Saccharomyces cerevisiae S288C: one gene and its partner. The protein of the gene in region 2 interacts with the protein of the main gene of each other region in a biochemical or structural test. Each region holds a gene or a part of one and is shown on either strand. Other genes may lie near its edges. The genes, in order: BCD1 and RSA1.

The links.
Region 1: the proteins of RSA1 (region 2) and BCD1 form a complex in vitro, tested with the Saccharomyces cerevisiae proteins (one study listed by BioGRID).

Annotation. Positions count from the first base shown.
Region 1 is NC_001140.6:186,387-189,524, forward strand, and holds BCD1 (Bcd1p), read left to right. Parts: upstream 1-1,537; coding exon 1,538-2,638; downstream 2,639-3,138. Other genes in the region: MSC7 (meiotic recombination directing protein), read right to left, coding at 1-423; VMA10 (H(+)-transporting V1 sector ATPase subunit G), read right to left, coding at 787-1,128, 1,291-1,293; SRB2 (Srb2p), read right to left, coding at 2,745-3,138. UniProt on the Saccharomyces cerevisiae protein: Required for box C/D snoRNAs accumulation involved in snoRNA processing, snoRNA transport to the nucleolus and ribosome biogenesis.
Region 2 is NC_001148.4:176,699-183,082, reverse strand, and holds RSA1 (Rsa1p), read right to left. Parts: upstream 1,681-6,384; coding exon 535-1,680; downstream 1-534. Other genes in the region: pheromone-regulated protein PRM3, read left to right, coding at 27-428; DDC1 (Ddc1p), read right to left, coding at 1,968-3,806; APL5 (Apl5p), read right to left, coding at 4,062-6,384. UniProt on the Saccharomyces cerevisiae protein: Involved in a late nucleoplasmic step of 60S ribosomal subunit assembly.

The DNA of each region.
Region 1 (3,138 bases), on a different chromosome or scaffold from region 2:
TGCCTTAGAAACCATTTCATCTATGTCAGCTTCCGTTTTCGATGGAAAAGAACCTAGATATTGACCTGTGGCGGGACAATGACATTGAATAAAGTTTGGTTCTTCAGGATTCCATATGTTAGTGGAAACAGACCTCTTGCCCTTCCAATTATTTTGAGCGGCCTCTGGTGCAGGAAGGGAGAATTTGACTGGCTTATAGGACGAGGAACACTTTGCTGGGGTGGAGATTATCTTGACCAAAACATACAGAGTGAAAATTGAGGCAACTAGCGTTGTAATGCCTATCAGTTTTTGGTTATCTTGAATAATTTGGGGTTGAGAACGCATTATTGCGTTTTGCTTCTCCAACCATAAGTTAAAGTAAGCTTGAACTGTGGAGTTCAAATGGTTAATCATGTCTGAATTCAGATAGACCTTGGACATGATGAATAAACGTTCGATAAAACAGAGGAGAAACTGAACGTGAACTGTGAAAAGAATTCTACTATTCTGCAAATACTATTATAATTATATAGTAATCCCCATCGGCGTTTAGTATTTTTCGTTAATAAAATAAAAATAGAGAGACCATACTTTCTCCTTTACAACCGATATACTAAATAACACATTTTTGATTATACTACTACTCGTTTAGCAGATAGAGAAAAAAAAAAAAAAAAAAAAAAGGCTGAATGGATAAAGCGAGAGTCGTAAAGACCGAATGCAATGTCAGTTTATACATTTTTATTCTATTGGTATTATATTATAAAAAGATATATGATTAGAAAACTAGAATGTAATGCAATATTACAAGGCATTGATATGGACTTCAGCAGAAGGCTTGATGACAGTCTCGATCAAAATTTTGACAACGTCATCCTTTTTCTTCTCTGCAATTTTCTTAATCTCAGCTAATTCACCTTGCACACCAGCCTCTGCTTTCTTTTCCAATTCACCAACACCACCGGCATTCTTTTGTTCAAACTCCTTCAATTCCTTGTCTTTTTGAATTTTGTATGAGTCGATTTCCTTGGCTGCATCAGTCTTGGCTTGCTTCAACTTATCTTGTCTGTACTTTCTAGCCTTTGATACTATTTCGTGGGCTTCCTTTTCAGCTTGTAGTAGGGTGGCAATTCCGTTTTTTTGGGACTAAAGAGAATATTACATAGTTCTGAGCAACAATGAAAAAACCAATACCTTTGTCACGAGGTACCAGTCCAACAAGAGAGCACAGTTTTAAAAAAGTTTTTCATGTTAGTAAGAACGCTTGTTAGAGACAGAAGTGTTGACACGTAATGTAATGGCACATACCATTCTGCTTTGTATACCTTGCACACTTTGGAGATTGCAGGAAAAAAAAAAATGTATTGTTTAAGGTGTGATTGCTTTATCTATCACGCTCCCTTTTAGAGATGAAATTTTTGATACCCAAGGCAGGGTAACAAATTGAAAAAAAAAAAAATTCGCGGTAATAATAGTGGATGTCAAAGTTCATATTCGATGAGATGAGCTGGAATAGGAGTCCAGTTAATAGGGAAGGGTGTGGCAATTTGCAAGTATGGCGGTGTTGTGTGGTGTATGCGGAATAAAAGAGTTCAAATACAAGTGTCCAAGATGTTTGGTGCAAACTTGCTCTTTGGAGTGTTCCAAGAAGCACAAGACAAGGGACAATTGCTCAGGTCAAACACATGATCCTAAGGAGTATATATCGAGTGAGGCGTTGAAACAGGCGGACGACGACAAGCACGAACGAAATGCTTATGTCCAGAGGGACTACAACTATCTGACGCAGTTGAAGCGAATGGTGCATGTACAAAAGATGGATGCTAGAATGAAGAACAAGCGGGTTCTGGGGCCTGTGGGCGGCCACAACTCTAATTTCAAGAAGAGAAGATACGATATAGATGAGGATGATCGTGATAGCACGGAGTGTCAGAGGATAATTAGGAGGGGGGTGAACTGTTTGATGCTACCCAAGGGGATGCAGCGATCATCGCAAAACAGGAGCAAGTGGGACAAAACGATGGACCTATTTGTATGGAGCGTGGAGTGGATTCTATGTCCTATGCAGGAAAAGGGTGAGAAAAAGGAGCTTTTCAAACATGTCAGCCACCGTATCAAAGAGACAGACTTTTTGGTGCAAGGGATGGGCAAGAACGTTTTCCAAAAATGCTGTGAATTCTATCGCTTGGCTGGAACAAGCTCTTGCATAGAGGGCGAAGACGGTTCGGAGACCAAAGAGGAAAGAACACAGATCCTACAGAAGAGTGGGCTCAAATTCTACACGAAAACGTTCCCTTACAACACCACGCATATAATGGATTCAAAAAAACTGGTGGAGTTGGCTATACATGAGAAATGCATCGGAGAATTGTTGAAGAACACCACAGTGATCGAGTTTCCCACGATATTCGTTGCCATGACAGAGGCTGACCTACCAGAGGGCTACGAGGTGCTACACCAGGAACCCCGCCCACTTGAGCATACGAGTACACTGAACAAGTTTATTGACAATGCAAGGGAGGAGGAAGACGCTGAAGAGGACTCTCAACCGACAGAAGAACCTGTACAGAAGGAAACACAGGACGCCAGCGACAGCGACAGCGACAGCGACGATGACTACAATCCGGGCTTATCCATGGATTTCCTCACTGCATGAGCCGAGATACATAAGGTTGAAGATTACTATTTAGACTATCTATCTATACGTATACACCGCAATATACAAACAGAAAAAAAAAAAAAGAAAAAGCATTCGTAAGAACTCACAGCTCCAGAGCACGAACATACTGGTACGCCAAATCACATATTTCGTTGCTGGTGTCCGGCCCCAACGAGTCGGATGAGGTTTTGTACTCCTTGGCCCGGATTTCAGCTAGGTGTCCTTCGATGCCTGCAATCTTGGTCTCAAACTCGCCCGCTTCGTCCGCCTGCAGTTCTATCAGGAGACCCTTGAACCCAGTGGAGGAGAAGAGGTTGACGAGTCGCACGGTGAGCCCGTCCAAGATCAACGTCTCACCGGCATCACCCTTGATGAGCTGCCTCTGCATCCAGATGTTGGACAGCTTGGACGACAAAATAGTGTCTATGGACTCAGGAACGCCCGTAGATGAGCCATTGAACACCAGCGCCGGAGGGATATCCGCCGCTGCGGCAGTC
Region 2 (6,384 bases):
TAAATATATAAATACTTCTCCAAAAAATGACAGCAATGAAAGAAGACAACGCTGCATTGATTACACTGAAGAAAAACAACGACCAAGAAAAACTTAGAGTGCATAAACTGACAGATGCAAGTTCAAACTCTGCTGATGGGTTCGTTATAAATAAAGCCAAAAACGGTGGACCGCTTAATAAAAAGTCATTAGTTAATAATGAACAACACATTAAGAAGGCTGTGTCGCCTGGTAGAGTCAGGAAGCACAAAACGACAACATCTTCCACAAAATCACGAACGAAAAGTAAGAAAAAAGACGCTTCTGAAAGTAAAGTACAGAGAGAGAATAAGGGTTCATTTTACCAAGGTGCCATTTTCGGTTCGTTCCTTGGTGCTGCTGTAACTACTGTTTTAAGTAACCTAGCAGTTAAAGCTCTTCAAAATTAGTTTCATATACTCATGATTTCTAAACAGTAATTAGTTTTATCTGACTTATTTTTTTTTACGCACCTTTGCATGTACTCTTCCATGTATATCAATATTTGCTATTCTATTACTTATTTCTAGTAAAGTTGGCTCTACTCAGATTAGGTTTCCTGTTTTTGTAATTTGGTTTGTAATGATTTTTATTATTATCTTCAGAGCTCCCAAAAAGTACATCTTTTTCTTGTTGAGATAGCTCATATTCAAGTAATCCTACATCTCCCAATTCTCTTATAAAGTCCAAAAGTTGGGAGTTTTCGTTTGCGAATTCTCGCTGTATCAATTTCAAGTTCAAGTCAATCTTCGGATTTCCTCTCTGCACTTGATTTTGAATACTCTGTATAAATTGCTTTTCTTTCCTTGACTCTTTGAAAATGCTAGGTTGGCTCTTCAGTTCATCTTCCTTTATGCCCATTTCTTGCATATGTTTCTGTTTGTTATTGGATATTTTCAGTAGCCACATTTTTTTTCTTTCTTCTCTCCACTTTTTAACATCTTCATCAGTAATCAATGCTATGGAGGTTCCAGGAACCAAAACCACCTTACCCAACCCCTCTGATTCTAACTGCTCATCACGATCATCATCTTCTAGCCCTAAGTTATTATGATCATCTTCGGCATTAGAATTTGCCAGCTCGGGATCCTTTCTTGGGATTTCTGTAGGCTCCGCAGATGCTTGATCCTTGCTTGATGGTACTGGACTTATTTCATTCATAAACGTATCTTTCCCTCTGTTTTTCTCAATCAATTGTATTTCCTTTACGGTCGGTATTGCAACATCTTCATAACTAATTGATGTTTGGTAATCTTTATCATTCTTTAAGGCTTGAGTGTTTTCACAATATGATGATGGCCACTTCTGTAAATTAAGCGCTGGTGCATAAGATATATTCTGATGAACTGGCGGTATGTAATTTTCTGTATAATTGGGAGGACTCGTATAATTGTACTGAGTGGACGGTTGTATTGGATGGAAATATTGATTATGAGGGGCTACATGATGAAGTTGAGGAGTATAACCGGTATTCCATGAACCTTCATAATACGGAGAGTTCGGATACATATGAGGTGAGTAAGCTGCATTAAAAGCAGAGTCTGTTTTTTGCCTTTTAATTTTCGATTCATCATAGCCATCTGATAGCGTTCCGGAGTATGTAGGTTTGGGAAGCCTAGAATGTCCATCACCCTTCGAATTTTCAAAGTTATTATAATTCATAGTCCATGTCGCAATAAGCTAATCAAAATGGAAAAAGAGATTGACTTATGAGTTAAATATAATAGCATCAATGAAATTTTTAAGTTCCTATTAAGTAAAAAGCTATGCAATATAGAGATATTATGCTATTGAAAATTTTAGTTTGTTCCCCGACCGTGATGGACCATCAGCCGCACGCTCACCAAATTGAGACAGAAAAAAAAAAAAAAACAGCGATCGATATTATCATGATAATTGCTACTTCATCTAATATTTACACGCCTTTATACTGATTTTGCATTATGGTTTTAGTCAAATATACCCCTTGGCTTTTCTACTTGTGTTAGACCCAGCCCATCTTCCATCTCTTTATTGTCCTGTTTCTTGTGATTACTTGTGTCATTCTGGGAATTCAACAGACCTTGCATATGCTTCAATTTTTCTTTCTTGAGCATTCCTTTTCTATCGATATTGCTGCATGAAACCTCATCATCTGCAGCTGGTAACGCTTTTCCCCATGTCACAGTGGTGTCTGCCCTTTTTGCAAATGTAGATTGTTGGGTGGGGTCTTCAGTTTCATTACAAATATCTGCTATGGATCTTTTTAAAGAATTGCTCTCATTACGTGGACAGGCCACTTCATGAGTCGTACCAATGTCAAAACTTTGTTCCCGATTCATGTTCATATGAACTGAACTAGCCTGCCGGAACCGCTTATCTTGTTCGTAATTCGTACTTTGGCTTTGTTCTTCCACGAATAATTTTCTTGCCGTGTTATTTCTATAGGTCTTAGCAACTGTGCTTCCATTATCAGGGGTCAGATACGACACTTTCAAAGGACTGTTTCGAGTTCCAGCCACAGAGTGTGGCAGGTTTTCTCTCTTTAAAGCAGTTTTGCTTTTTAATGGACTTTCGCAGCTTTCTTTGTTGTCTTTCAGTCCGGCCTCTTCTTTGGAGCCAGAGATTGCTGTTTTTATGAATTTTCCTTCTAAAATATCATCGTTAATGTTACTGTCAGTAACTTCAACCAATTCTAATTTTACGCCCGGTTTTTGCATTTGCATAAGAATAGGGTCCCCTGGGTGGCAAAACCATAAACTTATATTATCATTTCCGTCCTGGGTAGTCTTCCAGGATGGACCTATCGTTATGAAGTTTTTGAAGTCCTTCAATTTGAATATTATACTTTTCATATGCTCTCTACGCTTACTATGTGATCGCTTATCTTGTTTTTCATCTTCGATTGTTGTAAATAAGCAATAATGCTCAAGATCGAGCGTACTGATAGTGTTACTCATGCTTAACGCATTTCTTAAAAGGTCGTTATTTTTGCCGTAGACGGCCTTGGTGAATGCAGTTATGCTTAGCCTATGTACGTTAATTTCCAATTTTACTTCATCGGTTACATTAACATTGCAGTTGTCTAAAAAATTCTTCAATAAAGTTGAATTACAACAAATGTAATTAATCTCATCAGCAGCCGTTAACTGATTCCTTTTACGTATGTCTGATTCCACTTCTTCGTTAAATAAGGCTGATGTTAGCTCACGCTCTGTATTTGTAAAAACGTCCAATAGCTTAGGGTCCAAGGGCTCCTGTGGATTCCGATCGGAGGCAGCAGTTCCAAAAACATCCAAAAACCTCCTTTTGTACTTAAGGTTGATTATTATGGGATCGTATTTTATTGGCTGGAATTGGGGACAGTATTCTTTGACTATTAACGAATCCATTTCAATCACCACAATCAATCTATTTGCAAGTGATTCAGGACAGGTAGAAGTGTTGTTTACCGCAATTGTGAATGATTTGATGCCATCACCATCCGGCTTTCTTGATATAGTTGTTAGGTGTCTTCCATTAACACGGAAGGAGTATAACTTATGACTATTGCCGTACGTATCTTCTATAACTTGAACCCCATTTTCTCCAAATACAATCTCATGTGGTTTAAACTCATACTCCTCAAAAAAGCTTTTCTGAAACCTAACCTGACAAAGAGTAGTATCTGTCTCGTTCATTGACCAAGCAATTAACTCATTTGTTGTCACTGTAATCTTGATATCATCCTGAATTGTAGATAACACATATATCGCACGAAACCAGATATTCTGCTTCCCCGACTCGGTGATAGTTGCCTTAAATGACATATATGTCTAAGCAAAGTTATGCTGTGTTATTGTTACACTAGCAATAGTATGTCAAATAATTTTGCAAATCATCTCTGGTCTATGATTACCTTTGGCGGCCTTTGATTCATTCGCGTCATTATTAAATATGCCGTCTCTTTCGGCAAATTGAGTGCACCGCAATAATATACTATGCAGAATAAAATACTTAAATTAATTATAGTTTACGTACGTAATCGCTGTCATTGAGAATTCACGACTTCGATTTTTTTATCGTTAAATGTCAGTGCTTTGGTCTCGAAGAAATTCATTTGGTTCTGGAGAATTTTTTGCTTTCGTTTTTAGTTTGTTTTTTGACTTTGACTTTTTCCCTTTCTTCTTCTTTTTTATAACTATAACTTCTTCAGTATCACTTAAATTATCCTTTTCATCTTTTACAATAAGATTGGCCTCTAAACGACTTAATTCTAACTCGTCTTCCTTTCTAAGGTTGCCCTCTTCCTGCGATCCTCTTCCTGCGTTACTCGATTGCCCAAAATTGGAAAAATCAAAATTTTCAAGTTGAGAGTGCATTCTCAGATTAATCTTGTCCTTTTTCAAAGGATTTTGAGTTGAATGATTATCATGGGGTTTCTGGAATGCATCTTTCCTTTTGGGAGCGGCTTCGATAACAGGTTCATCGGATAAGACTTGAACCCTATTTTTCTTCTTTCCCTTCTTCTTCTTTCTGCTGATTTCAGTTGTAGATAAACTTAGAGAATTCAACGAATTATCGGTTCTATTTAATCTAATAGTTTCTGGCTTTTTATCACTACTTTCCTCCTCATTCAAGTCCAACAAATCTTTAGAGTTCTTAGTTCTTTCTTCGTCTTCTTCACCTAGATAATAAGGATTTGACATCCGTTCCTTTTCTCTCTCAATCTCAAATGGATTTTCAAAATCATCCAATTTTTCCTTTTCTTCATACGAAGTATCAGAATCATCAACGAATTTTAGTTCAACTTGCTCGTCCATTGAGATATCAGACATTAAATCACTGATGGCGTCACTTTTTTGTTCATCTAAGAGTTCATCAGCTGCCTCCTTTGTCAAAAATGGAGTTTCTAGATCAAGATTCTCATCTACTGCTAACTTCAATTGAGTCCCACGCGCAATTGGTGCGAGTTCATAGGCGTTAAAAAAACTAGGCAGGACTTCGCTCAGTAGCATTGGTAGACCTTCCGTATCCTCCTCTAAAGCCTCCAAACTTAGTCTTAAAAATTCTAAAACTTCTACGCTTCTTTCCTGGACTTCGAATGTACTCGAATAAGATAAATTTTCAAAAAATTCAATTAGCTCTTTTAACACCATTTTAATTTCAAAGCGTTTATCCTCCTGAAAGTTATTACACCAATTACTAAATACTTTAACAAGTGCTAAAATTAAAACTTCTTGTACACTATGAGAATAATAACTGATATTCTCAGTCATGATTTTTATTAAGTCGTTACCATTTTCAACTAGGGTAGAAAATTCTCCGAGACACCAAATGCATTCTCTCAATACGGTAGGCAACTGTTTGTTAATATTGTCATTTGAAATAAGCTTTATAATATTAGCAATGGTTACTTCTCTCATTGAAGGAACTTTTATCATCAAATTCCTAAACTGTTCACCAATTTTTGATCCAAGGCTTTTATCAGATATGTCTTGACAGAGCATCGCCAAGTCCATTATTACTGCATTGTACCATTCAAAGTCGTTAACACTGGAATAGTTGTCAGCTGAACAAATCGATATAATGACGTTCACCATTTTTATCTTGTAATTTTCTGGAATTATTATGGGAATTCTCTTTGATTTTTCGTATACGATGCTTCCAGTTTGTAGGATAACCACATCTTCATCTACAAATTGCTTCATCAATGTTTGGACAATTGCCTTTAAGTTATCCTCATCAACAATACCTTCAACCAATTCAATTGCTTTTGATCTTATAGAAACGTCGACATCGGAGAGTAAGCGTATAATCAGTTGGTCGAACCGAGAAATAAAATCAGTATTGATTTTGCCGATCTTGTAAAACAATATGCAGCTAATATATCTCAAATTTGGATCCTGAGAATCACAAAATGTGTGCAATCTTTCCAGGCATGCCATTGCTGTTTCAAAATCATCTTCTTCTAGCATATTCCCCTTGACAATACAGTTGACAGATTCATAGATCACAGAAGTTGCAACAGTACTCTCCATCAGTTCTAAAATTTTCGGCAATAACTTGGCTCTCAATTTCGGTTCCACTTGTGATAAGTTGGTGAATAACTTCAATAATCTAATGATTATCCAGTTATTGTCAATGGTAACTAATATCTCGTATAATAAAGGTGAAAGCTGGATGAATGGTTGGGGGTTTTTTTTTGATAGCTCGCAAATAACACTGACAGCGGCAGAAACCACAGATATATCATCATCGTCTAGCTTTGAAACAAACTTATCAAAATTATCTCTCAAAGCCTCTGGATATTGCAGAAAAACTTTAAATAGTGCGGTAATGGCCTTCTTTCTTATGTACGGTCTTGTGCTGTTTAGCATAGTGAACAAATCATCAGCTATATCTCTT